Arabidopsis thaliana: one gene and its partners. The protein of the gene in region 1 interacts with the protein of each later gene in a pairwise test. Each region holds a gene or a part of one and is shown in the gene's direction. Other genes may lie near its edges.

Region 1 (8,325 bases):
CCATTAATTTTATTTTATTTAGAAATATAAATTTTAAATTTTAAATTGAGTTTAATAATCTTTTATTTTTTCTTTAGTAAAAACTTAATAATAAATAAAACTCTTTGACATACATTGTTTTTAGAAACGGATTTTAAATTTTAAATTTTATATTCTTTTATAACATTTTCTAAATAGATATATATAAAAAAAATTACTACATCATGCATTTAATCTTACTTTCATTGGAAAAATCATTTTTGCAATGTTATAAAAATTGTGATGTCAAACAAAAAGCCCGACTTAATCGGGACGAAAAACCCAACTTCATTGGAACGACTAAAAACGACAACAGAACAACCATGTTAATGGCAAAAACATGACAACAAAAAAACTATGTTGACGGCAAGAATATAACAACGGAAAAGACATGTTAACCGCAAATAAAGATAAGAGCCCCTCTCTCTCAAAAATATTAGAGAAAGAGAGCTTTCCTACTATTTCTTAGAGTCCGAATCGTTACAACGGTTCGAGCAGACAAAACCGTGTATGGACTGGACCCGCTTTTTATTTACCATTCATAAACTATAGTTCCTAATAGTATAGATAAAAAAAACAGAAAAAGACGTTGTGGACCAATTGCACACCGTTTTTTATATTGAAATCAGTGTTCAAGAAAACGTCAGACGCTATTCGGGAGGTGATCCAATGTCTACCGCCTAAAACACCTAATCGGAGTCTAGACAATTTTAGGCGGTTAAGATGTTTATAACATAAAACATTATAAATATGTTATTATAGATAAACATCATTCAAAATATGGATTAAAAAAATATAAATATTAAATTTATAAACAAAAATGTGATAAAACGTACATATAATTCATACTAAACAATATTTGAACATTTAAAACCATGTATATGAAGACAAAACTTAAAAAAAGTAAATTTGAATAATTAAATATTGGAAACATATATTGGAAGCATAATTAATCTTAAGCGGTCGAAACGGTCATCTAGGCGTCGCATGAGAGCCTAGCCCCTAGTCGAGGCCTAAACAACCACCAAAATCGCTTTTTAGAATACTGATTGAGATAAATTAAATCTGTATTGATTTATTGTCTACCCCTAAAATAAAGTAGACTGAATCGCGGATTGATTAGTATTAACCGCAACATCCATTCAAAACCTCGGTCGATAATTCATAACTTCAACCGCGTTCACGTTATCATTACCCAAATTTTAAATGATAGTTTTTTGTTGGAGTGAAACCCCTAAATTTAACCCCAATGTGAAAAATCCACTTAAATCTAACCCCAATTTGACATTTTTAGCCCTCGAAAGCCCAAACAAATCTTCGTCTTCGTCTTCCTCCTCTAACCTCCACTCTCACATGACGCACCACCGCATCACCACCTACTTCAATGGCGGATCCGCCTCCATCTTCCTCCTCCTCCTACTCATCACCACCACTTCCTCTTCTTCTCCACCAATCCCAGGCCTAGACACCTTCCTAACAAACCAATATCGTCTCGACCCAAAATCATCAAACGACTCATTCACATCACTCTCCTCCTCTCTCAAACGATCTCTCTCTTCTTCATCAATCCACTTCTCATCACTCTCCAAATCTCTCCTCTCTCTCTCAATCTCAATCCCACTCAACGTCCGTTTCATCGGAGACTCTTTCCCTTCCTCCGCCGCCTCCACTCTCTCCGAATTCATCTCCGCCGCCGTAACTAACGACAACTTCCATGTAATCTCTCCATCTCCAGATTCATCAACAAATCACAAACTCGTTATCTCTCACTCTCTCCACCTTGACGCTTCTCTATCTCCCCAATCTCTCTCCACCAGACTCGATTCAACTTTGAAAACCCTAATTTCATCAACAACTTCATCTCTCAGATCTAATCTCCTTTCGATCCAGTACAATCCAATCGATGAGATTATAAAGCAAGAGTATGAGAAAGAGAAGCATGGAGATGGTGGTGTTTACATTTACTTGATCTCTTTAGGCTCACAAGCTAAACCTTATGCTTATAGTTACTCTCATGGTGATTCATCAGCTGGGTTTACGAAATGTTTAGGTAGTATTTGGACTGGTAAAGATCGTTATCTATGGATTGATCTCTCTGCTGGTCCTGTAGATTATGGTCCTGCTTTATCTGGTGATGGTGTTTTACCAAGAGGTGAGTTTCATCCTTTAGCTGCTTTACATGGTCGTCCTAAATCAGAAAAAGCTTTACTTGCGGATTTGGCTTCGTTGGTGTATAATGCTTATCAGGTTTTGATTGTTCCTTCTTTGAGAATCCCTGTGTACTTTGAGGATACGTTGGTGGTTCAGTTTATTCATGTGTATGGGTCAGAGGTTAAGGATTCGAGTGGGTTAGATTTGGAGTTTGTGAAGAGAACGTTTATGGATGAAGCTGAGAGTGGTGGGTTGTTGTTAGGTGAACAGAAGTTGAGTTTTAAGAGTTATAGTGTGAATTATAGAGAATGTTCGATTTGTTCGTTTGCGGTATCTCGTGGGATGAATTCGTATACTTCTAGGTTTTTGTTTGATAACTATACTTTGATTGTGAGTGAGTATTTGGATTCTAAGCATATGCATCGGGCGTTGACTGATTCGGCTGAGGAGTTGAGGAGAGTTGCGGGGATTGTTGAAGAAGAAGGAAATGAGTTTGCTAGGGTTTTACCTGTTTATGTGTTTGATTTGGATATCAATACGCCTTTGTTGCTTGATCGGTATCATCAGTCTGTTGCTTTTAGAGATATGGTGATTGCTGTTAGAACTAGAGGAACTCAAACGGTTAGTGATTATACTTGCAACGGGCGTCATGTGTTTGTTCATACGAGAGACTTAGAACGACCTCTCGTTGGTTCCATTCTGCAGAGTATGTGGGGTGTATCTTCTACTCATTTGACATGGAGCCCGAGACATAACACAACTCTAGTTGATTATACATGGAGCATTGGGCAAACACCGTTTGGACCATTCTCTGATATCTCGTCTCTATCGTTTGTTCAGAAAGATGCTGCTAAGAGAAACGTGATTTTGACATCTTTGAACACAACTATCACAAGTGCAATCGATGTTATCGATTCCGCGGTTGCATATGGAGGAGATGTGATCCTACGGAAACAGAATCGCCACTCTGAGTTCATGCAAAGGTGGAATCTTATGCAGTACAAGCTGGATAAAACGGTTTCTGCTCTATCACACAATGAGTTCGAGATGGCTTTGTTCTACTTAAGATCAGCTTCACACGACTTGTACTCAGTGCATTCAGTAGTGTACCTCGCGTCACAACGGGTAGAAGCGAGTCTCAACTGTTTCAAAGATCCACCGTTCCCATGGGGAACTGTTTCAGTGTCGGGATTCGGGTTAATGGCTGTTGGTTACGTGTTCTCGAAAAGAGATAGACTCTTTAGGAACAAACGAAAACAGTTCTGAAGAATTCTAGCAATGCAGGGTAATTTATAGTCATTACATTGGATAAAAAGACTTTGATAGTTTGGTTTTTGAGGTTAATACAACATGTACTACTATTATGAGCTTGTTTCCATTTGGTAATGTTGAACAATAGAGACAATGCTCGGATCCTCTGTTTGGTTGTCTATTTATTTTGAATAGCTCCATCACATTCCTATTGTCTCCTTCAATAATCACTTCTCCATACCCTTAGACCGGTTTTCCCCTCCTAACCAAAGCCAAACAAAACCGAAGTAACCGGTTTGGTAAACCGAACCCGCATGCCTACATAATTGATATAAAATTCTGTTTTATAAGAGGTTTCTTTTCCAAATGTGAAAAAATCCAAAACTCAAAACAACCTTCTGTTTTTACCGTTTTTTGATAAAGGTCTTTTTCCCAAATCTGCAAAACCAAAAACTCAAAAATTCAATTAAACCGGAAAATCTAATTTTCGAAAATTGGTTTTCTTCCCAAAATTAAACCGCCTGAGTGTCTATGTATAAAAGTTGATATCATAGTTTGGAAAAAAAAAAATCACTCTCTCTCTTTCGCTCTCGCTTTCTCGTCTCTCTCGTGTCTCTCAACAGAAAACCATGGCGGACGGCCACTCCTTCAATAATATCTCTCTCAGCGGTCGCGGTGGAAAGGTACCATCTTCTCTCTCTGTCTCCTTCTATCTCTCAAGATCTTTCAATTCCTTCAAAGTTTTCACCTTTTCCTCTTCCTTCGAAAACCCTAATCTCCTTTCTCTGTATCCCCTTTTGCTTCCGCCGCTCGATTCTTAAAGAACTCAATGAGTCAAATTTAGGGTTAAAAAAAAGATTGTCGCTTTCATTTTTCAGTTGTGTTGTTTTCTTGTTTACAATTGTTAAAGCTGCGGTAGTTTTTAGGGTTTTCTTAAGGCTAATTAGGGTTTCAATTTTGGTTTTTTAGAACCCGGGTTTACTTAAAATCAATTCTGGAGGAATTCAATGGAAGAAACAAGGTGGTGGAAAAGCTGTGGAAGTTGATAGATCTGATATTGTAAGTGTTAGTTGGACGAAAGTGACAAAGAGTAATCAATTGGGAGTCAAAACCAAAGATGGATTGTACTACAAGTTCGTTGGATTTCGAGATCAGGTTTGTGTGTGTATATCTTTTTTATTTGATTTGATATTGTAATGTTTGTGCTTGTTCTGATTCCTTTGTTTTGTAGGATGTTCCAAGTCTGTCTAGCTTTTTCCAAAGTTCTTATGGAAAAACACCGGATGAGAAGCAATTATCAGTTAGTGGTCGTAATTGGGGAGAGGTGGATTTACACGGTGAGAGTTCTTATAGCTTTTAGGCTTTACTTGTGGTTGTCTAGTTTCATTTGTGGATCTAAAGGGAGAATTTTTTGTTTCTTTGTGTAGGGAATACACTAACCTTTTTGGTTGGATCAAAACAAGCTTTTGAAGTATCTTTAGCTGATGTTTCACAGACTCAGCTTCAAGGGAAAAATGATGTTACTTTGGAGTTTCATGTTGATGATACTGCTGGTGCTAATGAGGTACTGGTTTCTTTTGATATGTAATCTCTAGGCTGTTATGTATGTACATTTACTGATTTATATTCTACGTGTTTACAGAAAGACTCGCTGATGGAGATTAGTTTTCATATTCCTAATTCCAACACTCAGTTTGTTGGTGATGAAAACCGTCCACCTTCTCAAGTGAGTTCCCAAACTATTTTCATTATATGTATGTGCCTCAAGTATATATTTTTTTCTGTTGATGCTAAAAGAATGTCTCAGGTTTTCAATGACACAATCGTTGCAATGGCTGATGTTAGTCCTGGAGTTGAGGATGCGGTCGTCACATTTGAGAGTATTGCAATCCTCACACCCAGGTAAAGAGTTGATTACTTAAACATTTGTTGCACTATTGTATGGCTTCATCTTGTCATGACTAAATGATTTGGTTGTTTCTATCACAGGGGTCGGTACAATGTGGAACTTCACCTTTCTTTCTTACGATTGCAAGGACAAGCTAATGACTTTAAAATCCAGTACAGTAGCGTTGTCCGTTTGTTCTTGCTTCCAAAGGTAATTCTTTTTTAAGCATATCTCAGGGCAGTTACCTATGTTAGCAGTCATCAGATTAAAGGGATTATCGTATTATGATCACTGAATCGTGTTCACATTAATTGAGTTCGTATTTTTTTTTATATGCCTGAGCAGTCAAACCAACCACACACGTTTGTTGTTATCTCTCTAGACCCACCAATCCGGAAAGGTCAGACAATGTACCCCCACATTGTTATGCAGGTAAACATTACTTACATTTTTCCTTCCATTTCAATTTTCTATGTATAATTTTCGTTTTTTTACTCTGATTTACATAACTGTTTTTGCATCTTCTCCAGTTTGAAACAGACACCGTTGTCGAAAGTGAACTGTCAATTAGTGATGAACTTATGAATACAAAGTTCAAGGACAAGCTGGAGCGATCATATAAGGTTTCTGTCTGGTCTGCACTTACATTATTGTTCCTGAATAAAAAAATTTATACATACGCTGAATTGTATGAATTTTCAGGGTCTCATTCATGAAGTATTCACCACCGTGTTGCGTTGGCTGTCTGGTGCAAAGATCACTAAACCTGGGAAGTTCCGCAGTTCCCAAGATGGGTTTGCAGTGAAATCGTCTCTCAAGGCAGAAGATGGGGTTCTTTATCCACTCGAGAAGGGATTTTTCTTCTTACCTAAACCTCCAACGCTTATACTTCACGATGAGGTAAATTATGGTTATTAAGGATTGGAGATTTTTTATAGGCTTTGAGATAGAGTTGGGTTTTCTAACCTGTTTTTTTTTCGTTTTTAGATTGACTATGTCGAGTTTGAAAGGCATGCTGCTGGTGGTGCTAACATGCATTACTTTGATCTTCTCATAAGACTGAAAACTGACCATGAACATCTGTTCCGTAACATTCAAAGAAATGAGTATCACAATCTCTATACCTTCATAAGGTTAGCGCGGATTATTTCATTGTCTCCGTCTATATTTACTGAGTGCATTTAAGATTTGTGGTGAATATTCCTTATGTTTTCTTGCTGCAGCTCTAAGGGTTTGAAGATTATGAACCTTGGAGGTGCGGGTACCGCAGACGGTGTTGCTGCTGTTCTTGGGGATAATGATGATGATGATGCTGTTGACCCTCATCTTACGCGTATCAGAAACCAAGCTGCTGATGAGAGTGATGAGGAGGCAAGTACTTTATGTCTGACCGAATTACTTCATATTCTAATGATCATGTGTTTGATAATCGAGACTTTTAATTTATGAAGGACGAAGACTTTGTTATGGGTGAGGATGATGATGGTGGTTCACCAACTGATGATTCTGGCGGGGACGACTCTGATGCTAGTGAAGGCGGTGTAGGAGAGATAAAAGAGGTAAACTTTTGTCGCATTCATTCGAACTCTTTCAGCAGCAGTATTTGTTTCTCATATCTTCCTGTCATTGACTTGTTATAGAAATCTATCAAGAAGGAACCTAAGAAAGAGGCTTCGTCATCGAAAGGATTGCCTCCTAAGAGGAAAACTGTAGCCGCAGACGAAGGCAGTAGTAAGAGGAAGAAGCCGAAGAAGAAGAAGGATCCCAACGCACCAAAAAGAGCAATGTCTGGTTTCATGTTCTTTTCCCAAATGGAAAGAGATGTGAGTTCTTCTCTCCTTTCTTTTACTTTTACCTCTATGATGTAGGCTAAGTTGCGAAATGGAGTATCCTCGGTCTATTACATACATGAGAGCAAACAATTAACAGACAAACTTAGCACATTCCTGATTATGTCATTTTCCATTTGTGAACTGAACAGAACATAAAGAAGGAACACCCAGGAATAGCATTTGGAGAGGTGGGAAAGGTGCTTGGAGATAAGTGGCGTCAAATGTCTGGTAAAAAATTTGAAGATCCTTTTCAAAAGTAAATACATTACTTGGTTTTACTTTATCATGTGAATGTGTTTTAATTCCCCAACCGTGTGTATGTATAGCTGATGATAAAGAGCCATATGAAGCCAAGGCTCAAGTCGACAAGCAGCGATACAAGGATGAGATCAGTGATTACAAGAACCCTCAGCCGATGAATGTGGACTCAGGAAACGATTCCGATAGTAACTAAACTTTGATTCTCCAACATTCTCTACTAGTATCTCATTTACCTACAATACTAAGTTATGGCATGTAGTAAACGTTGGACCTTTAGTTGTTTGGAGTTAACCAGATTTTTCTCTTTGACCTTAAAGATCTTGTGTTACTTCCTAGAAAAGAAGAGCCTGTCTTTACCTCAAAATATAGAGTACTCTGGTAAGGCCATAGCTAAGAAGCAACAAAACAGATCGTGTTTCTATCGAAATTGTTATACAAGAGGTTCTGTATGATGAAAGTTATGGACAAGAAGCATCTAAAACCTTATGGACAATGGGACGAGCTTTACACATAGCTTGCAACGATGTAGCTTTTCGCATTGTGGTTCCTTTTTCACTTTCTCTCATGTCTAGATACTTTTCTTCAACCCTCTCCCACTCAAAACATTGGACCAATGATCCAAGAGCCAAAGTCACTAGCCGTTGAGCTAGCCCTGAACCAGGGCAAGATCGTCGTCCAATCCCAAATGGCATCAACTTTTTATCCTCTCCTTTTTTCTCAAACCTCTCCGGCTTAAATTTTTCTGGCTCTTCCCATAACTTTGGATCTCTATGGATGGCCCATGCATTCACCAAGATGATTGTGCCGCGTGGAACGTCATAGCCATCAACTATACAATCTTCTGATGCTAAGTGGGGTAAAAGCATTGGAGCCACCGGATAAAGCCGTAAAGTCTCTGACACAATGTGCTGAAGGTAAGGAAGT
Region 2 (10,329 bases), on another chromosome or scaffold:
ATGCACAATGGTTTGTTTGGAAAACAACTATTGTTAATATACAAATAAGGTTTGATTTTACTGTATTATATCAAACTTAAATCTCAAAAATAGTGGTTTCAATGTAAAACTTGTGCACACTAAATTAAATGGAATAGTATGCATTTAAATAAAAAAATCAAGAATTTTCATTCTTATTTCGGCCTTCTAAAATTAATTAATTAGTTAAATTAGTTTGTGATTTTATTTTGTTGTGGTTGTCACTAGTGGTAAATTATTAATAATTTAAAAATCTAATATTTTCAATAAAAATTAATGATCTATTTTTAATATTAAATAAAAATAGTTAAAATTATAGAAATTTAGTTCATATTGATATCTCTCTAATTCATTTGGAAAAATATTTTTAGCACAGACAACAGTTTATGCCTGCATCATTACAACAATTTTTTTTACTATTTTCTCATAATTTTTTAATACTATTTGAGTTATAATTGAAAAGCTAATTACGGTTAAGGAGCAGCTATAGATAACGAATTAATAGATTAGAGAGGTTAATTATAGAGTCGTCACATCTCTCTCACATGCCTCTCTAAGTTCCCTTTAGGGTTTTCTTCTTCACTATAGAGACTCATGCTCTTCTCTTCCCAATCGCCGCCTCTGATCTCTCTTCCTCGCTTCTCAGATTAGGTATTAGACATTCACTCTTTCTTACATTGTTATAACATTGATGAAGTAGAAGCTTAGATTCATATCATTGCCATTGGTCACGATTAATCATCTCTTTCACTAAATCATCAATTGTTTCAATGAGAACCAATAACAGCTGAATCAATGTCGATACATTTGTTGTTACGAAATCTTTTGAATCTTCACTGAATCCGCTTTGTCATTTTTCTTTTGCAGCCTTTGTTTTGTTAGATTGATTTGTTATGTCCAACAATCTATTGCCTCAGCCTTGTATGCAAATGGGTCAATTCATTAATGTCCCTACTCCCACTCCTGAGCTGATTTCTAATCCGGAAATGAGATTGTCACAACCAATCTGTAGTCATATCTCTGGTGGGAGACAAGATTTTCATGTAATGTTGCCTAGTGTTGTTGGTTTAGGATCAGTTAATATGGATAAGACTCTGTTACCTGGTAAGCGGAAATCTCCGTTGCATCCTTCTGTGCAAAATAAACGGATGGCATTACCTATGGAAGGTCGACCGTGGGCGTCTGCTCCAATGCCTGTGCAGTTATCTTCTGTTTCCCCTAGAACACAGTATTTGCCTGCTTCGTTTGTTAGTAAGAATAGTTTTGTTTCTTTTAGTAAACCTGGGAAGCAAGCTGCGGCGAGAAAACCGACTTTACAGAAACCGATGTTGCTGAAACCTCAAAGTGAGTCGTCTGGTTCTGTGAGGTCTAAAATGAGAGAATCTTTAGCTGGTGCATTGGCAATGGTACAGTGTCAAATGGATGTTCCTAACGAGTCGAAAATGTTAGATAGTGAGACTGTAGCTAATCCTCTAGAAGGTCATGTTAGTGGGCCAGTGTCAGCTGCTTCTGGAGTTGATGTGATGGTATCTAATGGAAGTACTGAGATGCTGACCCTCAGTGATCCTAGTCCTGTTGCGGGTATCTCTGTTCAGACAGTGTTACCGGAGATTTTGTCTATCGCCAAGACAAGTGATGCCCAAGTACCTGAGGCTGTAAAACCGTTTGTGCAAGACAATGTTTCATATAGTGACAATGTGTTTTCAAAAGATGATCTTTTGCAAGGGAATGACCTCTCTTGGGCTCTCGAGTCGGACATTGAGTTTACTGTCAATTGTCAAAATGAAATGATTGGTGCAATGGCTAATGATGGGAGCCTGGAAAAATTGTTACTGGATCCACAAGTTTTGGCATTTGAAATAGAGACAGAACTCTTTAAGTTATTTGGTGGTGTAAATAAGAAATATAAAGAGAAAGGAAGGTCTCTCTTGTTCAATTTGAAAGACAAGAGTAATCCTAAACTCAGGGAAAAAGTTATGTATGGAGAAATTGCAGCAGAGCGATTGTGTTCCATGTCAGCAGAGGAACTTGCTTCAAAGGAACTAGCTGAGTGGCGACAAGCAAAAGCAGAAGAGATGGCTCAGATGGTTGTTCTGCAGGACACTGAGGTGGATATCAGAAGCCTAGTAAGGAAAACACACAAAGGAGAGTTCCAAGTGGAAGTTGAACCAATGGATAGTGGTTCTGTAGAGGTCTCTGTTGGAATGAGTTCGATTAACTGGTCTCGAACAAAGAATTTTAAGAAGAAAACCCCTTCCATCACGAAAACTCTTGGAGTCAAGAATGAATTGAACAGCTCTAATGAGAGCACTGGGCCAATAAACGGAGTCACAATAGATGATGAGATGCAGGCTGCCACTGGATCTCTTCCTCCAATTGTCTCTCTTGATGAATTCATGTCATCCATAGATTCTGAATCTCCGTCTGGCTTTTTGTCTTCAGATACTGAGAAAAAACCTTCTGTTTCAGATAATAATGATGTAGAGGAGGTTTTAGTTTCATCACCCAAAGAAAGTGCTAATATTGATCTTTGTACATCACCAGTTAAGGCTGAGGCATTGTCACCACTTACGGCTAAGGCATCATCACCTGTTAACGCTGAGGATGCTGACATAGTATCGTCAAAGCCTAGTTCTGATTTGAAATCCAAAACTACATCTGTTTTCATACCTGATGGTGAACGTTTATGGGAAGGTGTGCTCCAGCTGAGTCCTTCTACTGTGAGCTCTGTCATCGGCATTCTAAGAAGGTTTGTAATAAATTGTTTCATGAGTGGTAGCAAACCTATCTCAGTATTTTTTTTTTATTCCACATTTCCAAATTTAGGTTTGCATATATGAATAGCTTTCTTTATTTAGTCTACATGTTACTACTTATCTATACTATTCTAGTGCTTATCAGCTCTATAAAATGTTTTTTTAATGAATATGGCTTCGCTGTTATTGATACCATGTTTACCAACCTGATTTTTACGCTTCACAGTGGCGAAAAGACTACTACAAAAGAGTGGCCTATTTTGCTCGAGATTAAGGGTAGAGTCAGATTAGATGCATTTGAGAAGTTTGTTCGAGAGCTCCCAAATTCCAGGAGTCGTGCTGTAATGGTATTTGTCTACACGTTTACCTCTATCATTAATGTACATGTTTTATATACGCATTCTGTGTTTGAGCCCCTGCAAAAGCTATTAACTGTGACGTTTAACCAAGCTTAAGTAGAAGCATTTAGGAAAGAAGAGGAGAGATTAACGGCCAATACTGATTTGTGAATGATTGAGAAAAATACATTACATCTGTGAATCACAATGGAGATAGATGGACTTACAAAAATATTTTCACCAGAACAATTGCATAGCTTATGTTTCTTGAATAGGCCTCCATATTCCAATAAAACTAAGACCTGTTTGTTCTCGATTCTATATGTATGTGATGAACTCGTTTATCCATCATGGTACTTCTGAAACCTTGCTTTCGTGTTACAGGTTATGTGTTTCGTCTGCAAAGAAGAGTGCTCAAAGACAGAACAAGAGAACATTTCCGAGGTATGAGCGTTGGTAGTTAACCAAGATTCTGTGTATCCAAATAAACGAAAAGATGATTAAAAAAACTTGAGATTTATTTGAATATTAATGATTTATTTGATCAAAACTGAACGCGAATCTGTACAAACTGAAAACCCAAACCGAATTTAAATTGAAACACTCCTAAATATCTGTAGAATGTCTAACTTGGTAACGAAATTTGGGCATTTGGTTTTGTTACTATACAGGTGGTGGATTCATACGCTAAAGATGGGAGGGTGGGTTATGCAGAACCAGCTTCAGGAGTTGAGCTATACCTATGCCCAACCCGTGGGAGAACTGTCGAGATTCTAAACAAGATTGTTCCGAGAAACCAACTCGATTTCTTGAAATCTATAAATGATGATGGTCTTATAGGTGTTGTTGTATGGAGAAGACACACAATTTAAAAAATCACCACTATCTAACAACTCTCACAAGAACCACCGTGAAAAGGGTTCTTCGTTAACCACATATAATACTTCTCGTTACAGTAACATGCTACAGGTCAACAATGACGATGGTGATGATGTGCCACCGGGGTTTGGCCCAATGACCATGGCTCGGGATGAAGATGATGACTTGCCTGAATTTAACTATTTTTCCAGTGGGGATGTTGTCGTGAACCGGACAAGCCGGTCTGTATCTGTAAGAGAGCTTATTCAAAAATATGGAAAATCTGAACCTTTGAGGAACCAAAGTTATAATGATAATGACAATGATATACTACCAGAGTGGCAGCCTCAATCTAACTGGACTCTTGGGGTTACTCATGTAAATGGTGGCTCGATGGTTAGACCATGTAGTGAGTGGTGGTCTCATCAGGATGGCAGAGGAGGATATTAATTGTTTTTTGTTTCACCTTAGCAATTTTGTGTTTGTTATGCATTTTCTGTTGCAGGCAACACTGCTTTCCAAATTTTGTGATTTTCTCTCAACAGTCACCGATATTTGGCACTTTATTAGTAAGATGGGCTTGCGCAGCCCGCTAATATATTGCTCCTTTCTGTAACAAAAAGTACAAAAGTAACAAAATCCACTCCTATCGATTATACTATAAAACAGAAGTGCAGAGAAAATTTCAGTCATGATATTTTTTGACCAGCTCGATTCAGAAATTTGGAAAGACTAGCTTTTTTTTCTCTCGGGTTTCACTTTTTAAAGGTCGTGAAAATTTGGGAATCACTGATCAATTTTGTTAATATGATTTCCTGATTTAGGGTTTCTCTGCATGCCTCTAGAATCAGCAAGTGTAAAGCAATTACCATGGTGACTCCGAAGCAGATCGATTTCTCTTCCTGTGGTGGTGGTGATAACTCCGACGATACCCTCTCCCATCGAGAATCTCCACGGAATCCTTCCTCAAAGCGTGCTGCTGCTTCCTTCGCAGCAGAAGCAGGCGAAGAGACTATGAAGAAGAAAAAGAAGAAGAAGAAGAAGAATTTGGGTCCGCCGTTGATCGTCCGGATCTGGAACGAGGAAGATGAGCTCTCTATCTTAAAGGTATTCTATTCATCTTCTCCGTTACACTTTGATTTGGTTTTGCATTCTGATTTTCTCAAAACCAGATTCGAAATTTCTCAGGGATTAGTTGATTACAGAGCTAAGACAGGATTCAATCCCAAAATTGATTGGGATGCGTTTTACAGTTTCCTCGGAAGTTCTATCGTTGCGAAATTCTCCAAGGAGCAGGTTTTGAGTAAGATCAGGAAGTTGAAAAGGAGATTTCATGTTCATTGGGAGAAAATCAGTGAAGGGAATGATCCGAAATTTACTAGGTCTAGTGATTCTGAAGCCTTTGGATTTTCTTCGATGATTTGGGGACAAGGTGAATTTGGTAATGATGATGGTATGGATAAGGAGATGGTGAAGGAGCACGATGTAAACGGAAATGGCGCAGCTGAAAATGGGACTGCTCGAATAGCACAGGAGAACGAGAGTGGGGAGGAGATGTTAAAGGAGCATGAGGAAACGTTAAATGAGAATGGTGCAGAGGAGATAAGAGACAACGACGAGACTGCTCGGAAAGCACAGCAGCTCGAGAGCGAGAGCGAGGAGGAGATGTTGAAGGAGCATGAGGAACCCTTTAATGAGAATGGTGCAGAGAATATAAGAGACAATAACGGGACTACTCAAATAGCACAGCAGAGCGAGAGCGAGAGTGAGGAGATGTTGAAGGAGCATGAGGAAGTGGCTAATACTGAACTTGTAAATGAGAATGGGGCAGCGAAAACAACAGAGAACGGGACTACTGGTGGAAAAGAGAGACATGATGACGATGATGATGATGAGTTATGCGCTGTGCAGGATGCATTTGAGGCTGTAATGTCGCAAGGTTTAAGTGGTTATCAAAAGAAGTTGCAGCTTGAGAAGCTGATGAACCTTGGAACTGGAAAAAGAAGAGAGTTGAGTGATGAATGGAAAGCGTTATGTGTTGAGGAAAGAAGATTGAATATCAAGAAGCTTAGATTTTCCGCCAAGCTTGCAGAGGCAGCTAATGATAGTTAGATGAAACCAATAAGCCGTTGTAGCATTTGGTGTTAATTAGGTTCTTAGTAAGCCATAAGCTTTAGTCTGTTCAGTGTATATCTTTGGATGTTGTCTTTGTTCTGTTTGGGCAAGTGTTTGTAAGACATTCCAGTTTTAACTGAAGTATCCAGAAGAGCCATCCATGTCCATTGTTGGATATAATAAATTTCATTACTTTCTTGTTGCACCAATCAGTCAATGAAGTGGCAAAACATTTTATATGCATTCCCTAACAAAAGGCATTTACAATGTAATTTTTACATTTTTAACCACTAAAAGGCCAGAAGAAGTGCACAAAGAAAGACTGACCAAATAATAAAATAATTTTTCTTGTCGGTAGTCACCAAAACCATGCTATTCCAAAATGCACTTCCTTTGCAACAAACGGCTTATATCCATATGAATCCGACAGAGGAAGACAAAAGGATTTAGTCTTGTGATGTAGCAGAGTATTCAAAAAGCAAACGTTTGGAAGGTGCAGATTGCAGAAGGACACGCAAGCGGCTCGTGAGCTGGTAAATAAGTGTCCATTGCATTGCCATCTCAGAATCTTTCATCTGTCTTACCACAGAGGCCTGTAGATAAAAGACAGCAAGAACCGTGGAGTGCTTATTTTGGTTAGGTTTTGAAAAAAATGAGGCCATATGGAGAAGAAAGAAGATTTCAATGTTTATGCCTGACCTGAAGACGTTTTCCGAGCTGCACTTCAACTTCCGTTCCAAATGATATGTTGCTCGCCAGAGACTTGAGAGGATCCACAGTTGGATCAACAGAGAGTAAACTTGGGATCTGCGGAGCATACACCAACCTCCATCTCGCCTGACCAAACTCTCCTTTTCCTTCTATCCTTGGCATTATGGTTCCAAGTGTTGCGGTTGCAAGTTTTTTGAAAGCAAGTTGTCCATCTCCTTCTAATATGGATTCTGCTAATTGGCTCTCAAACACCTTTGCAGCCTGCGAAAGGGAGATTATTAAACAGAGATTTCCATCAAGAAGAAAACACAACAATTTCCAAAATACAGCTACATTTTAACTTCAAATTTACCTCCGAAGGTGAGAGAGCATCCTGTTCAACAGAACGTGTTGAAGTCACGACAAGTTTGTCCTGCCAATTACTGGCACGACTTTGAACCCTAAATTGCCATTCTGAACCAACTAAGGCTAAATCTAGCAGAGGATCTAGTCCATGTTCAGGCTCAAACTTTGCAACGTTGAGATGCTCCCTCTTCAGACGTACCTGTGTTTAGAAAACAAAATAGATGTTGGTTACTCGAGGACATGTTGGCTTTGCAAGAATTATGGAATGAATGAGTTCACCACATAAAATCAAAACAGAGATTTAGGCAAAACCTGAGTAGCCACAAGATTGACATCTCCGTTTTCGAATGTTAGGACACCCTTTGGTTTGATAAATTTTGGATGAGCCATGCCATCAAGTTCAAGCTCACCACTAACAGCAAAATTAAGAATTAAAGGGTACATTATCCTCAGCTCTGGTCCTAAAACAAGTTTCATATCACTCAGACGGATATCCATATTTGGTTTCATTTTCACTTCTTCAATCTCCTTTTCAACAGAATTTGATTTACCTGTTGCAGGCAAAACAAACCGAGATCATTACAAAAGTGTTTACATACAAAGTCCAAATACTAAAATAGAAAAAAACGTAGAAATTTTGCTAGTAAACATGTAGGTTACCAGTCGACTGAGAGAATTTCATCCCTGAAGAAGCCCGTTCAGTGCCAAAAAATCGAGCAAAATATCGTGAAGAAACTGCTTGATTAATAGCAGCACCTGGAATACTATACTGATTGGCTGCCAATCTATTTAAAGGGGCAGCTCCACCACCCTTATCATGAGGCAGATAAGCTTCTCCTTGGCTTAATTTAATATTTCCTGATATAGTTGGCTGCAACATTGATCCAGTAATTTGCAGCTGAGTATCAACCTGACAACTGATATGGCAACACGATCTCTCACGGAATCAGAAAAAGTAATAAGCTCAGTAACATGAGTCTAGAAGAGCAAAATGGAAGAAACCTAGACGATACAGTATCTCAGCATGCAGTCTAGATATATAAAATTAACAAAACTGATCCACGATAAAGTATGTACCCATCAAGATATATCAATAGTTAAAGTAAGAAAGATAAATCAAAATTATGTACTAAAAGCTTAAAATGATTGACAGCAGCGTTGATATTGCAGAGTATACCTTAAAAAATTCTTTGCTCGTACTTCTAGAACTTCACATTTGAGCTCTATTCCATCACCAGCAGATGCTTCATTTGATCTAAGGGGAAGATTTCCTTTAACAACCAGCTTTCCCTTTCTACTTACCCTGCTTTCCAGTGAGGTGATGCACAACCTGTTTGATTTAACATGTAAGGTTCCACCAAAGTTTGTGAGCGGTTTACGAAGCACAGGTGAAGAGATAGACGCCCTGTGGAATGAAGCAGACCCATCAAGCACTGGATGGTCTACTGTACCTCCGACCTGCTCAGCAGATAGGTTATGCGTAAATGAATTTAGTCAGAATTTGAGGACATGGCAGATCAATTTAACTATCTTACAATGTAAAGACAACACAACAAGAGGACAATGGCCAACCTGAAGCCTGATATCAGCATTTCCTTGGAGCCAATTAGCATAAGGAGATATGGCTGTTAACAAAGTCATTCCCCCATCCTTGATGTCTGCCTCCAGTCTAACTTCTCCTGCATCTAAAATATTCCAGTATAAACCCTTGAGACTCTCAGCTAGTTGGCTGTCCCATCTCTCTTCGCTCCTATCCCTTGAGGTTCTCTTCTCATCATCTTCCTTCTCTTTTGCCCAACTCGGGATTTTCACTGCACCACCTCTATCTGTTTCGCTGACTTCTCCTTCAGACATATTTTTCTGCGAAAAGCTAACAGGAACACTTCCTTGTATATGGACATGACCATTTTGGACAAATGGTTCAAAGTTGGAGTTGAAAAGAAAACGACTGTTAGATGTAAGAGAAGCAAAAACTTCAGCTCGTCCAAGGTCTATACCACCAACAGCACCATCCAATAACCTAACTTGTACATCACATTCTGGTTTTTCAAGACTCCCTCTAAGATCCCCTTCCATGTGCAAAATGCCTTTGATTGGTGACAAGAGTTTCCTCAAAGAGTGAACAATATCAGTAGCTGATGATTCAACAACCTCAACCAAGGTAGGTATCAAACTAACAGGGAAATTCAGAACAGCAAAATGAAGATTTGTTTTTGGCCCCAATAAGGTCCCATCTGCGTGCAGTGTAGCGTTTCCTTTTTGAATGAGCATCTCCTTAAGACGTAAACCATCATCATTGTTATACGAACCAGTAGCCAGAACACGCTGTGTTTTGTAAGTCCCCCACTCCCAATCATCTCCATGGAAGTCAAATTCGGCCTGGTATTAGATGTAAGAGGAAAACATTTAAACAAGACATCACTAGAAATTCTCACTTAAATATCTCACTCATAAAAAGTTTTTTCTAAAGACAATTGCACCCGTCTCCTTGGACACGAAAGCTTATGAAAACCAATTTGGAGTGTCCTTTAGATGATGACAACCTTAACCCTTTATTTTAAAAACGAGATGACAGGGTTATTTTTATACCAAAGTGTCTCCATTGCCTCCACCACTAGCATCAAGCGAACCATGCCAATGACCCTTGAGCTCAGCTAAACCTGGAAGACTTAGATCTTCAAGAACGACTTCACTTGGTGGAGTATAATACCCACGTATCTCCTGATTTTAAGGAACCATATAATTTAGCATAGGAAAGAACTAAAGGCGAGCTTAATGGTGTCTACACAGGTTTTTTTGTTCTTATTATAGAATCTGCTTTCTGTATTAGAAGCCTGTTAGCTACTTCGAAAGGACAGAAGGCATAATATTTAATACATTACCTCAAGCAAGTCTCGAAGATTTTCAGCTTGTAGACAGAGATTTTGAACGCTTTGGATGAAAAGATCCTGCCATACCAACCAAGAAACCCAAACAGTCAGAGGCATCCAGCTCAAAGAGGAGATGAGAACATATTTTTGGAGTACACGAACATGAAAATGCTCTAGCAGGTGTTTTTCTTGAACCAACATTTTAGAACATGGCTAATCACAATATAAGCATATGATTTAGCAATAACCTTTGATCTTGAGTGAACAGCTGGATCTGTACTTCTTGAAAGAAGCCTTGCAAGAGGAAGCATCTCAGCA
Region 3 (9,833 bases), on another chromosome or scaffold:
TCATATTGCAGAAGCTAATGCTCTAGCTTTCATAATGCCACACTGAGTTAACACTCGCAATGATTTAATTATCTCATTTGTTTGAATCTGACCCTGAAGTATAATAACATATATAGGTGATTGTGAATAAGTCACGTGCTCAGTGGCGAGCAATAGCATCCAAGATCCCACTGCAGATCGATGACTTGGATATGATTCCTCAAATATCAAATGAAATCAAGGAAATGTTGAGGTCCAACACAAAAGTTTTCTTAGGAAAAGAAGCTCCACACTGTTACTTATCGCGAGTGGAAAAATCTTTCGCTGAACTTACCATTGGGTGCAATCTGATACGCATGGTACACTCTCTCTTTAGTCTCTGTAACAGTCTTCTCATTTTTTGAATGATACAACTACCACTACTACTGCTAGGGATCTTTGTCGTCAAATGTAGACAAAGTTTAGTAGCTTGATGTGATCTTTTTACATTAGAATGGTGGTCATTTGTCTCAGGGAAAAGAAGAGCTATACAATACACAACAAGAGGTCCTTCTTGAGGCGGTGAAGATCATAAAGAAGCACGGTGTGTCGTTAGGTACCACCTGGGACAATTCTACATTGTGAGTGATCATTTTGTAGAGACAAGGAATACTGATCCGGAAGCTACTTAGCTAGATGGATCCAGAAATCTGTGTTTTTGGGAAATTACAGAAAATCGTGATGACTTGTTAGGTTTCAAGAGAAAAATGTTTCATATTGGCCTTGCTTTTATTTCTTTCCTTCTAGTTTCTGTTTAACAGGTAGGTATTTATAGGGTTCTAACAATTCCTATGTACAGGAAAAGATCAATTCAATATGTTAAGCAGAAAATGGCTCGTTTGATGTGGTTTGCAGTGCATGATCAATTAGTTCAGCTCAACTTTTGCTGTTTAGTTTATTCCCTTTTTATTAATACAAAACTTGAAACTCTTTATTGGACGTGATGTGAGTGAGTGGGTAAGTCATAAGGAAGATTTGGAAGAAGGCCGGGAAGTATCTTCACTCGTACCATCTCTGCAACCGATGAAAACGTATCAATGAAATGGATCATTTCTTGTTGAGTACATACAAATTTTTCTTTCCAACACCATTGAAACTGGTTTGGAAAAGGCATTGTTTCAAACTAAGTTCTCTTGAGAAACAGTTTCAAAACTTTAGGAGCTTCCCTCAAGGCAACAGAAACTGTTACAATGTGCAGCCTCCGCAGGGAAAAGGCTTCGAGTATTTGATCATAACCCGTTTTGTTAATGAGGTTGAACCTATCACCATATAAGCTATTTAGAACTCTTGTCATTGCTGAATATGTTTGCGAATCCATTCTATTGTGTGTTTCTTCGTTTTGTAATAACTCTGGTTATGAGTTTTGAGTAGAGAGACATTCAAAAAGGAAGCACATTTACAAAGTCCTAAAAGTTCATTACAGTCATCGACCAAAAGGCTTGTTAAACAACTTAGCTAATTCATTACAACCATCGACCAAAGACAACTTAGCTAATTCTCACACGAGAATCCAAAGTCCTAAAAGTTCATTAACGTAGACAGAGAGACGAATCCTAAGTTAGATAACAAAAGAAGGCATTACATCTCCATTTAAACCCGAGATTAAAAACCGATAAACCTATAATACAATCCAATAGCTTCCTCTTCTTCTTCTTAGTTGGTTTGAGCAAGCACCGAAGTCACCTCCTTCAAAACATCCATCTTCTCCAACAACAACTCACATTTCTTAGCGTCCACAAGCTTCATCTACATTAGCATGCATGACTTAATATAAAGGTGAGAAGAAAGGCGAAGCTTCTTAAATTGATGGGACTTTACACCAAAATGAGAGGTGTAGAGTGGAACACATTTCGCTTTCTATTTTGAATTCGAGAATATCATACACCTGATGAGGTATATGTATTATCATTCAAGCTTAAAGATTTTTATAATATATTAAGATAAGCCATATTCATCGATGGTGTTTTTTTCAATGTGTTTTGTCAATTGGAGCTGAAGGATGGAGATTAAATTGATGCAATGTTGTATCAACAAAATGGTTATGGTCCTCTTCTATAAGTATTTAGAGTTTGAATGTTTCAGGTGTGAATGTCAAGTAGAAGACTACATGCACGAGTCAACCGTTCTTTAACATAAATCTTAATTATAAATATTAAAAGAAAAAATAAATACATGAATGGTGTCTTGGTATTAGGAGCACTACAGAGACAACTCAACTGATTTTAAATAACAAAAATCTTAAATATAAATCTTAAAACAAAAAAAAAATACAAAAATGATATTTTGATAACATGAGCATTATATGCACATATATCAACTGATTTTAAATAACCAAAATTTTAAATATAGATATTAAATAAAAAATAAAAATAAATGAATGATGTTTTGGTAATAGGAGGATTACATGCATGAGTCAACTGTTGTTTAATTAACATAAATCTTAACTATAGATATTAAATGAAAAATGAAAATACATAAATGATGTTTTGGTAATAGGAGGACTACATGCACGAGTCAACTGTTGTTTAAATAACATAAATCTTAAATATAGATATTAAATGAAAATACATGAATGTTGTTTTGGTAATAAGAGGACTACATGCACGAGTCAACTATTGTTTAAATAACATAAATCTTAATTATAAATATTAAAATAAAAAATAAATACATGAATGGTGTCTTGGTATCAGGAGCACTACATAGGCAAGTCAACTGATTTTAAATAACAAAAATTTTAAATATAAATCTTAAAACAAAAAAATACAAAAATGATATTTTGGTAAATGGACCACTATATGCACATATATCAACTGATTTTAAATAACAAAAATTTTAAATATAGATATTAAATAAAAAATAAAAATACATGAATGATGTTTTGGTAATAAGAGGACTACATGCATGAGTCAACTATTGTTTAACTAACATAAATCTTAATTATATATTAAATGAAAATACATGAATGTTGTTTTGGTAATAAGAGGACTACATGCACGAGTCAACTATTGTTTTAAAAACATAAATCTTAATTATAAATATTAAAATAAAAAATAAAATACATGAATGGTGACTTGGTATCAAGAGCACTACATAGGCAAGTCAACTGATTTTAAATAACAAAAATCTTTAATCTCTTAAAACAAAAAAAAATACAAAAATTATATTTTGGTAACAGGAGCACTATATGCACATATATCAACTAATTTTAAAATAACAAAATTTTTAAATATAGATATTAAATAAAAAATGAAAATACATGAATAATATTTTGGTAATAGGAGTACTTCATGCACAAGTCAACTGTTGTTTAAATAACATAAATCTTAGTTATAAATATTAAATAAAAAATAAAATACATAAATGGTGTCTTGGTAACAGGAACACTACATAAACATGTCAACTGATTTTAAATAACAAAATCTTAAAATAAATATTAAAATAAAAATGATAATACATGAATAGTGTCTTGGTAATAGGAGGAATACATAGAAAGATACACTGATTTTAAATAATAAAATATGAAATAAAAATACATAAATGATGTATTGGTAACATAAGCACTACATGCACATGTCAACTGATTTTAAATAACAAAAATGTTATGTTAAAACAAAAATAAAAATACATGAATGATGTCTTGGTAAGAGAAGGACTGCATGCATAGATCAACTGTTTTTAAATAACAGAAATCTTAACTCTAAATATTAAAACAAAAAGGAAAATACAGAAATAATGTCTTGATAATAGGAGCACTATATGCAAAGGTAAACATGTATTTTTTCTGCTTCCCTCCCATTCAAAGCCTTAATCAATGAAGTTTTGGCTAAAAGAATGATCTTTGACCGATGGAGTATTGTGTCGCTTGATGTGATCTTTTTACATTAGAATTGTGGTCATTTGTCTCAGGGAAAAGAGGAGCTATACAATATAACAAGAGGTCCTTCTTGAGGTGGTGAAGATCATAAAGAAGCACGGTTACGTTCCTTTTGTAATATTCCTTGGATCTCGAAATCGAGTACAAGTTCCTATCATGCTAATGGCGGAGATGGATGAAGGCATTTTACATTGTAATCTGTTCATTTAATTTGGATTGCTTTCATTGTTTCATTTGTTTGACATACATAGACACTAATAGTTGAGGATTATGTATTTACAACAATAAAGTGTTCCACTACACAAGGTACAATCGATATATATATAGTGTTAACTCTCATTTGTGTATATATGCATATCAGTTTGTAGGTGTTACTATGATAGTAGTACATTTATTAATTTATAAAAATTTATACGTAAAATACAATATTAATTTTTTAAAAAGAAAAATTTTAATTTAGTTTTTCTTTATGTTTTATTGTTTGTATATTCTGTTAGATTTTTTTTTATTACTTTTTTTATTTTTTCTCTGTAAGATATTGTGCATGTATACGACGTTAACGTGAGACTTAATCCAATTTTTTATTACACAAATCTTAACAATGATTTTTCATATAAAAAAAGTTACAAAACCAAATATGACGGATCAAATACGCAAAGAGTTATGTGAATACAAAAGAGATCACACCAACTATACTCTAGAAAGAGTTGCAATTATGACTTGAACAAAAGTTTCATATAAAATTAGTCTTTGAATGTATGCTAAAGATTTATGATTATTAATTTTATGATATTACTGGTACCATATTTTTACATAGGGATTTCAAAAAAAATATTATCTTATTATCTTATCGATTTTGGTTAATTTTTACATTACCCCGATTTGAGACCGACAAAATTTATTAATTTATCGTGTAATATGTTTTGTTCAAATACCTTTTAATATCTATTTAATAATAAAAAAATATTCAATCAGAAATGGATAATATATAATATAATTATTTACTTAAAATATATCAGCAATGAATCTTAAAATGTAGAAAAAACTAAATTTTAATTTATTATATAAAAAAGGTAGATAAAATATTTTATACTATTAAGTGACTAAAATGATAGATTTTTGCAAGAGCAAAATTGTACTATTGATGAATATTAAACAGTAGAAAAAAAGATGAAAGTGTTTGTTTTGTTATGAATGTTGAGAAAAGTATGGCCAAGTGTTACTCATCCTATTTTGCTTTTCTTTTTCTCTCGGGTTTCACTTTTTAAAGGTCGTGAAGATTGGGAATCACTGCTCTGCATGCGCCCTAGAATCAGCAAGTCTAAAGCAAGCAATAAGCATGGTGACTCCGAAGCAGATCGATTTCTCTTCCTGTGTTGGTGCTGATAACTCCAACGGTACCCTCTCCCATCGAAGATCTCCACGGAATATTCCTTCCTCAAAGCGTGCTGCTTCCGTCGCAGAAGAAGAGACTATGAAGAAGAAGATGAAGATGAAGAAGAAGAAGAAGAAATTGGATCCGCCGTTGATCGTCCGGATCTGGAACGAGGAAGATGAGCTCTCTATCTTAAAGGTATTGTATTGATCTTCTCCATTTATAGTTTGATTTGGTTTTGCATTGTGATTTTCTAAAACCAGATTTTCGAAATTGCTCAGGGGTTAGTTGATTACAGAGCTAAGACAGGATTCAATCCCAAAATTGATTGGGATGCGTTTTGTAGTTTCCTCGGAAGTTCTATCGTTGAGAGATTCTCCAAGGATCAGGTTTTGAGTAAAATCAGGAAGTTGAAAAGGAGGTTTCATGTTCACTCGGAGAAAATCAATCAAGGGAATGATCCCAAATTTACTAGGTCTAGTGATTCTGAAGCCTTTGGGTTTTCTTCGATGATTTGGGGACAAGGTGATGATGATGGTATGGATAAGGAGCACGAGGTAAACGGAAATGGTGCAGCGGAAAACCGGACTAACGAGAGCGGGGAGGAGATGTTGAAGGAGCACGAGGAGGAAGTGGCTAATACTGAACTTTTAAATGAGAATGGGGCAGCCAAAACAACAGAGAATGGGACTAGTAGTGGAAAAGAGAGACATGATGAGGACAATGATGATGATGATGAGTTATGCGCGGTGCAGGATGCATTTGAGGCGGTGATGTCGCAAGGTTTAAGTGGTTATCAAAAGAAGTTGCAGCTTGAGAAGCTGATGAACCTTGGAAATGGTAAAAGAAGAGAGTTGAGTGATGAATGGAAAGCGTTATGTGTTGAGGAAACAAGATTCAATATCAAGAAGCTTAGATTTTCCGCCAAGCTTGCAGAGGCAGCTAATGATAGTTAGATGAAACCAATATGCCCTTGTAGCATTTGGTGTTGTTTAGGTTCTTAGTAAGTCATAAGCTCTAGTCTGTTCAGTGTATTTATCTTTGGATCCTGTCTTTCTTCTACTTGGGCAAGTGTTTGTAAGATATTCCACTTTTTACTCAAGTATCCACAAGAGCCAATGTAGTAGAGTGGCTTGTGCAAGAGTCTAGAGTCTAGGGTTAATAATGTGCTTTAAGGCATGCTTGTGTGTGTGCCTAAGAGTGTAGTGAAGTAGTATAAGTAAGAGTGTGTGTGTGTCTTGTAATATTATCCAAGATATTAACAATGTAGAAGATTAAAAGAAAAATGGTTTTTGTTCTTACTCTCTAAGACAATGAAACCTTAAGAGTTATATCTTACCAAATAAAAGAGTCAAACATTGATTCATTTCAATATAGAGTTTCATTTGATTTCTAGCTTCACCTTGGAGCAGAACTTAAGGACGCAACTTGTTTCTTCTTCCCAAATCAGTTCCAACATGATGGATTCGTTTGCCTTCACATCGTTAGCTTGGATGAATCCTTGCCATCCTCCTACCATTCGTAGTCTTTTTCTTTTGTCGTCCTCGAACCGCAGAGTCGTTAACCACTTCACACCATGTTTATCCAACAGAGTCATTTTAGTTTCTTCATTGATACCATTCATCCTCGTGAAAGGAACCGGAAGACGCTGAAACATAGATTCACACAAAAGATTCTCATTCTATAGACTGTTAAAAGACAATGGCTTGGAATGATGAAACGTACCAGTAGAGAACTTTGGATTGTATAAGGTGTTAGAGTTAATGTCACAAATCGGTTTTCGGATAGTAAAGACTTTCTTCTTGAGATTTTCTCGTCGTGGATACTCTCTTCATCGCTTTCTTGCTCTGTCGAAAGAGAGACTACTTCATTAGCTTCTTCTGGCTCGTTGGGGATCAAACGTAGAACAAGAGTTGCTCTTTTCTTTATCAGTTTGAGAGTTATGATACTTCCAGCTCTTAGTCCATTGGCACTACAGAAACTTCTCCATCCTCGTTTGATGAGAGAAGTTCCGGATGATTTCTTTACTTTCAAATCTAAAGTCCATGATTTTCCCTTTTCATTAATCAGAATCATCTCTCCACATCTTTTGTCTACACCATTTTCCCTCATAAAACGCTTTGGAAGATACTGGAACAATACAACATAAGTTTCAGACACTAGAATGAGAGTTTCTTTTGGGATTCAAAAGTAAGAGTAGAATACCAGTGTGTCATAGCGTAGACTCGAAGGGGAGACATTAGCCACAAAACAAGAGGGATCTTGTGAAGAAGACTCTGCCTCTCTTGTTACATTCTTCTTCACTTTCTCCTTCCTTTGAATCTTTTCTGAAAAAAAGAAAGAAATAAAATCCATATGAGCACGTTTCTTGAATGTCAAGTATCATGGGCAGAGTTAGAGAAAGAAAGAACAGAACTCACCAAGGTTGCGCTCTGCATCGCTTTCCGGTTCTTCGGGAAGAGACACTTCATTAGCTTCCTCTTTTGGCTCATTGGGTAACAAACGTAGAACAAGAGTTCCTGCTCTTTTGATCAGTTTGAAAGTGTAGTTATCTCCAGCTTTAAGCCCATTGGCATCACAAAAACTCACCCACCCTCCTCTAACATAAACTGTTCCGTTTGATGGCTTTTGTCTCAAGTTAAAATTCCATGATCTGCCCTTTTCATTCATCAGAACAATCTCTCCAGATCCGACTACACCATTATCCCTCACAAAACCCCTTGGAAATCTCTGAAAAATTCATTAGAATACAACATGAGTTCAGACCCTAGAATGAGAGTTTCTTTTCGGGTTCTTAAGAGTCAAATACCATCAAGTCATAACGTAGACTCGAAGGCGCAACATTAGCCACAAAACAAGAGGGATCTCGTGAAGAAGACTCTGCTTCTCCATTTGGATTCTCCTTCACTTTCTTTTTCTCTGAAAAATAAGTGTTATATAGTCAAACTGGTTATCTCTACTCACTGATCCACATTCCAAAAGCAAACCACGTTTCTTGAAGAGCCAGAGACAGAACACAACTCACCGTCACCGAGGTTGTTCTTTTCGACTGAACACGAACCATATTGAATCCCACAACAACTAGGTCCCAACAGTGTTACATGGAAAGCCAAGTCACTCTCTTGTCTGAAAACAACAATGTCACCGATTCGAAGATCATGTGAGACAGCAAACTCTTTCCAACCGTCGGTGAGTCTCTGGCCATCTATCTTCACTTCCCAAGTTCTCTTTGACGCGTCTGATCTCAGCTTCGCCGTCTTCTGCTCATATCTTCCTTCTATATACTTCAAGAAGAAGGCTACAGGAATTGTCTGAAGCAACATGCAAATACAAAACCAGACTCATCTTTAGCTTCTCAGAGAGACATAGACAGAGATAGAAGAAGGGAAAGAGCGAGAAAGAGAGTACCAAGGAGGCGTGGAAGCCAGGAAGAAGAGGCTTGAAGAAATGTTGATGCGCCATTTTCAAAATCTTGAGAAGTCCTAAATGGCTAAATCTGAAAGTCGACGGTACAGTTTCTTGAAGGAACGAGTGTAATAAACTCCAACTTGAAGATGACAGTTTATTGGTGTTGTTGAAACTATGAGAGACCATTGATATACTCAAGAAGAGACCATTGAAGAGACTTTTATTGTGGTTAAACACTCTGGTTCGGTTCAGGACTTTCAGAATTCATATGTATTGGATTGAAATTTCTTGAACCGAAGTAGACCGAAAGTAAAGTTCGGCTCGGTTCAATTTTAATAGCATAAATTTCGATTTGGTTCAAGATAAAATATTGGTGTCAAATTGGAACCAAAAACCAATTTCAGGTCGGTTTACTGTAAGAGAGAGTTCATATTTTTCAATAATTTTAATTAAACTTAAGATAAAAATTGGTAACTTCAATTAAATTAGAATAATCGTTTGGTTTCAGTTCGGTAACTATAAACCGAACCGAGTACTGAAGTATTACTACAGTAATTTTTATTGAGTTTACTCAATAAACCTAATCGACTAATCCTAACCGAATTCATATTCCTAAATTCTAATTTACATTTTTTTTGTCTATAGATGACACTAAATTTCACTACTTACAATCTTTTCCACTTTGTTAATTTCAATAAAGGTTTCCCACTTGATCAAATGATCTTTCTAAATGTAAAAATATAAAGCGACTTTGTAAAATTACTTTTAGTACATATATTTTTGTTTTACAACAAAGAAACCTTTCATTTTGTATACCAAGAATTACAACAAGAAAATCTAGTATGAATTTTGTTATACAAATTTCTTATACATTTGGGCAAAAAATTGTTTTTTTTTCCCATGTTACAGTGTTACATATAAGGATGATGGTTTATTTATTTTGTTGGGCTTAATTAGTTTTTGTTGTTGAGCTTTATTTACTTTAATTGTTTCTTAAATATAAGAGATGTTACAGTGTAAAAAAATAAAAAGTCTCGCAACTCACAAACCCTAAAATTGTCCCTTCAGTTCCCACTTGGTACTCATACCCGAGAATCTGAAAGAAGAAAATCCAATGGCTCCTTTGGAAAGTCCAGCAACCGCTTCTTCAAGCGAAGT

Evidence for each region.
Region 2: the proteins of HMG (region 1) and AT2G25650 interact in binary tests that used the Arabidopsis thaliana proteins (3 or more experiments, as listed by UniProt).
Region 3: the proteins of HMG (region 1) and AT4G00270 interact in binary tests that used the Arabidopsis thaliana proteins (3 or more experiments, as listed by UniProt).

Annotation. Positions count from the first base shown.
Region 1 is NC_003074.8:10,780,905-10,789,229, forward strand, and holds HMG (high mobility group), read left to right. Parts: upstream 1-3,983; 5' UTR 3,984-4,049; coding exon 4,050-4,103; intron 4,104-4,389; coding exon 4,390-4,575; intron 4,576-4,651; coding exon 4,652-4,757; intron 4,758-4,847; coding exon 4,848-4,984; intron 4,985-5,062; coding exon 5,063-5,146; intron 5,147-5,227; coding exon 5,228-5,322; intron 5,323-5,409; coding exon 5,410-5,518; intron 5,519-5,653; coding exon 5,654-5,740; intron 5,741-5,838; coding exon 5,839-5,931; intron 5,932-6,010; coding exon 6,011-6,208; intron 6,209-6,295; coding exon 6,296-6,441; intron 6,442-6,531; coding exon 6,532-6,679; intron 6,680-6,759; coding exon 6,760-6,867; intron 6,868-6,948; coding exon 6,949-7,131; intron 7,132-7,289; coding exon 7,290-7,368; intron 7,369-7,466; coding exon 7,467-7,594; 3' UTR 7,595-7,825; downstream 7,826-8,325. Other genes in the region: AT3G28720 (uncharacterized protein), read left to right, coding at 1,225-3,435; CYP81D11 (Cytochrome P450 superfamily protein), read right to left, coding at 7,860-8,325. UniProt on the Arabidopsis thaliana protein: Component of the FACT complex, a general chromatin factor that acts to reorganize nucleosomes. The FACT complex is involved in multiple processes that require DNA as a template such as mRNA elongation, DNA replication and DNA repair.
Region 2 is NC_003071.7:10,909,925-10,920,253, forward strand, and holds AT2G25650 (DNA-binding storekeeper protein-related transcriptional regulator), read left to right. Parts: upstream 1-4,586; 5' UTR 4,587-4,840; coding exon 4,841-5,077; intron 5,078-5,158; coding exon 5,159-6,082; 3' UTR 6,083-6,292; downstream 6,293-10,329. Other genes in the region: AT2G25640 (SPOC domain / Transcription elongation factor S-II protein), read left to right, coding at 912-2,767, 3,001-3,121, 3,497-3,556, 3,784-3,984; emb2410 (embryo defective 2410), read right to left, coding at 6,532-6,678, 6,785-7,057, 7,149-7,340, 7,454-7,692, 7,802-8,058, 8,319-8,599, 8,714-9,520, 9,731-9,862 and 2 more. UniProt on the Arabidopsis thaliana protein: Probable transcription factor. May play redundant roles with GEBP and GPL2 in cytokinin responses by regulating the transcript levels of type-A ARR response genes. Involved in stress responses.
Region 3 is NC_003075.7:113,867-123,699, reverse strand, and holds AT4G00270 (DNA-binding storekeeper protein-related transcriptional regulator), read left to right. Parts: upstream 1-5,056; 5' UTR 5,057-5,231; coding exon 5,232-5,465; intron 5,466-5,548; coding exon 5,549-6,223; 3' UTR 6,224-6,615; downstream 6,616-9,833. Other genes in the region: AT4G00290 (Mechanosensitive ion channel protein), read left to right, coding at 117-338, 493-603; AT4G00280 (ER protein carbohydrate-binding protein), read left to right, coding at 849-887, 988-1,049, 1,177-1,291; MEE45 (Transcriptional factor B3 family protein), read right to left, coding at 6,649-6,948, 6,993-7,397, 7,473-7,594, 7,688-7,997, 8,077-8,186, 8,293-8,578, 8,676-8,729; AT4G00250 (DNA-binding storekeeper protein-related transcriptional regulator), read left to right, coding at 9,790-9,833. UniProt on the Arabidopsis thaliana protein: DNA-binding protein, which specifically recognizes the GL1 enhancer sequence. May be involved in leaf initiation. May play redundant roles with GPL1 and GPL2 in cytokinin responses by regulating the transcript levels of type-A ARR response genes.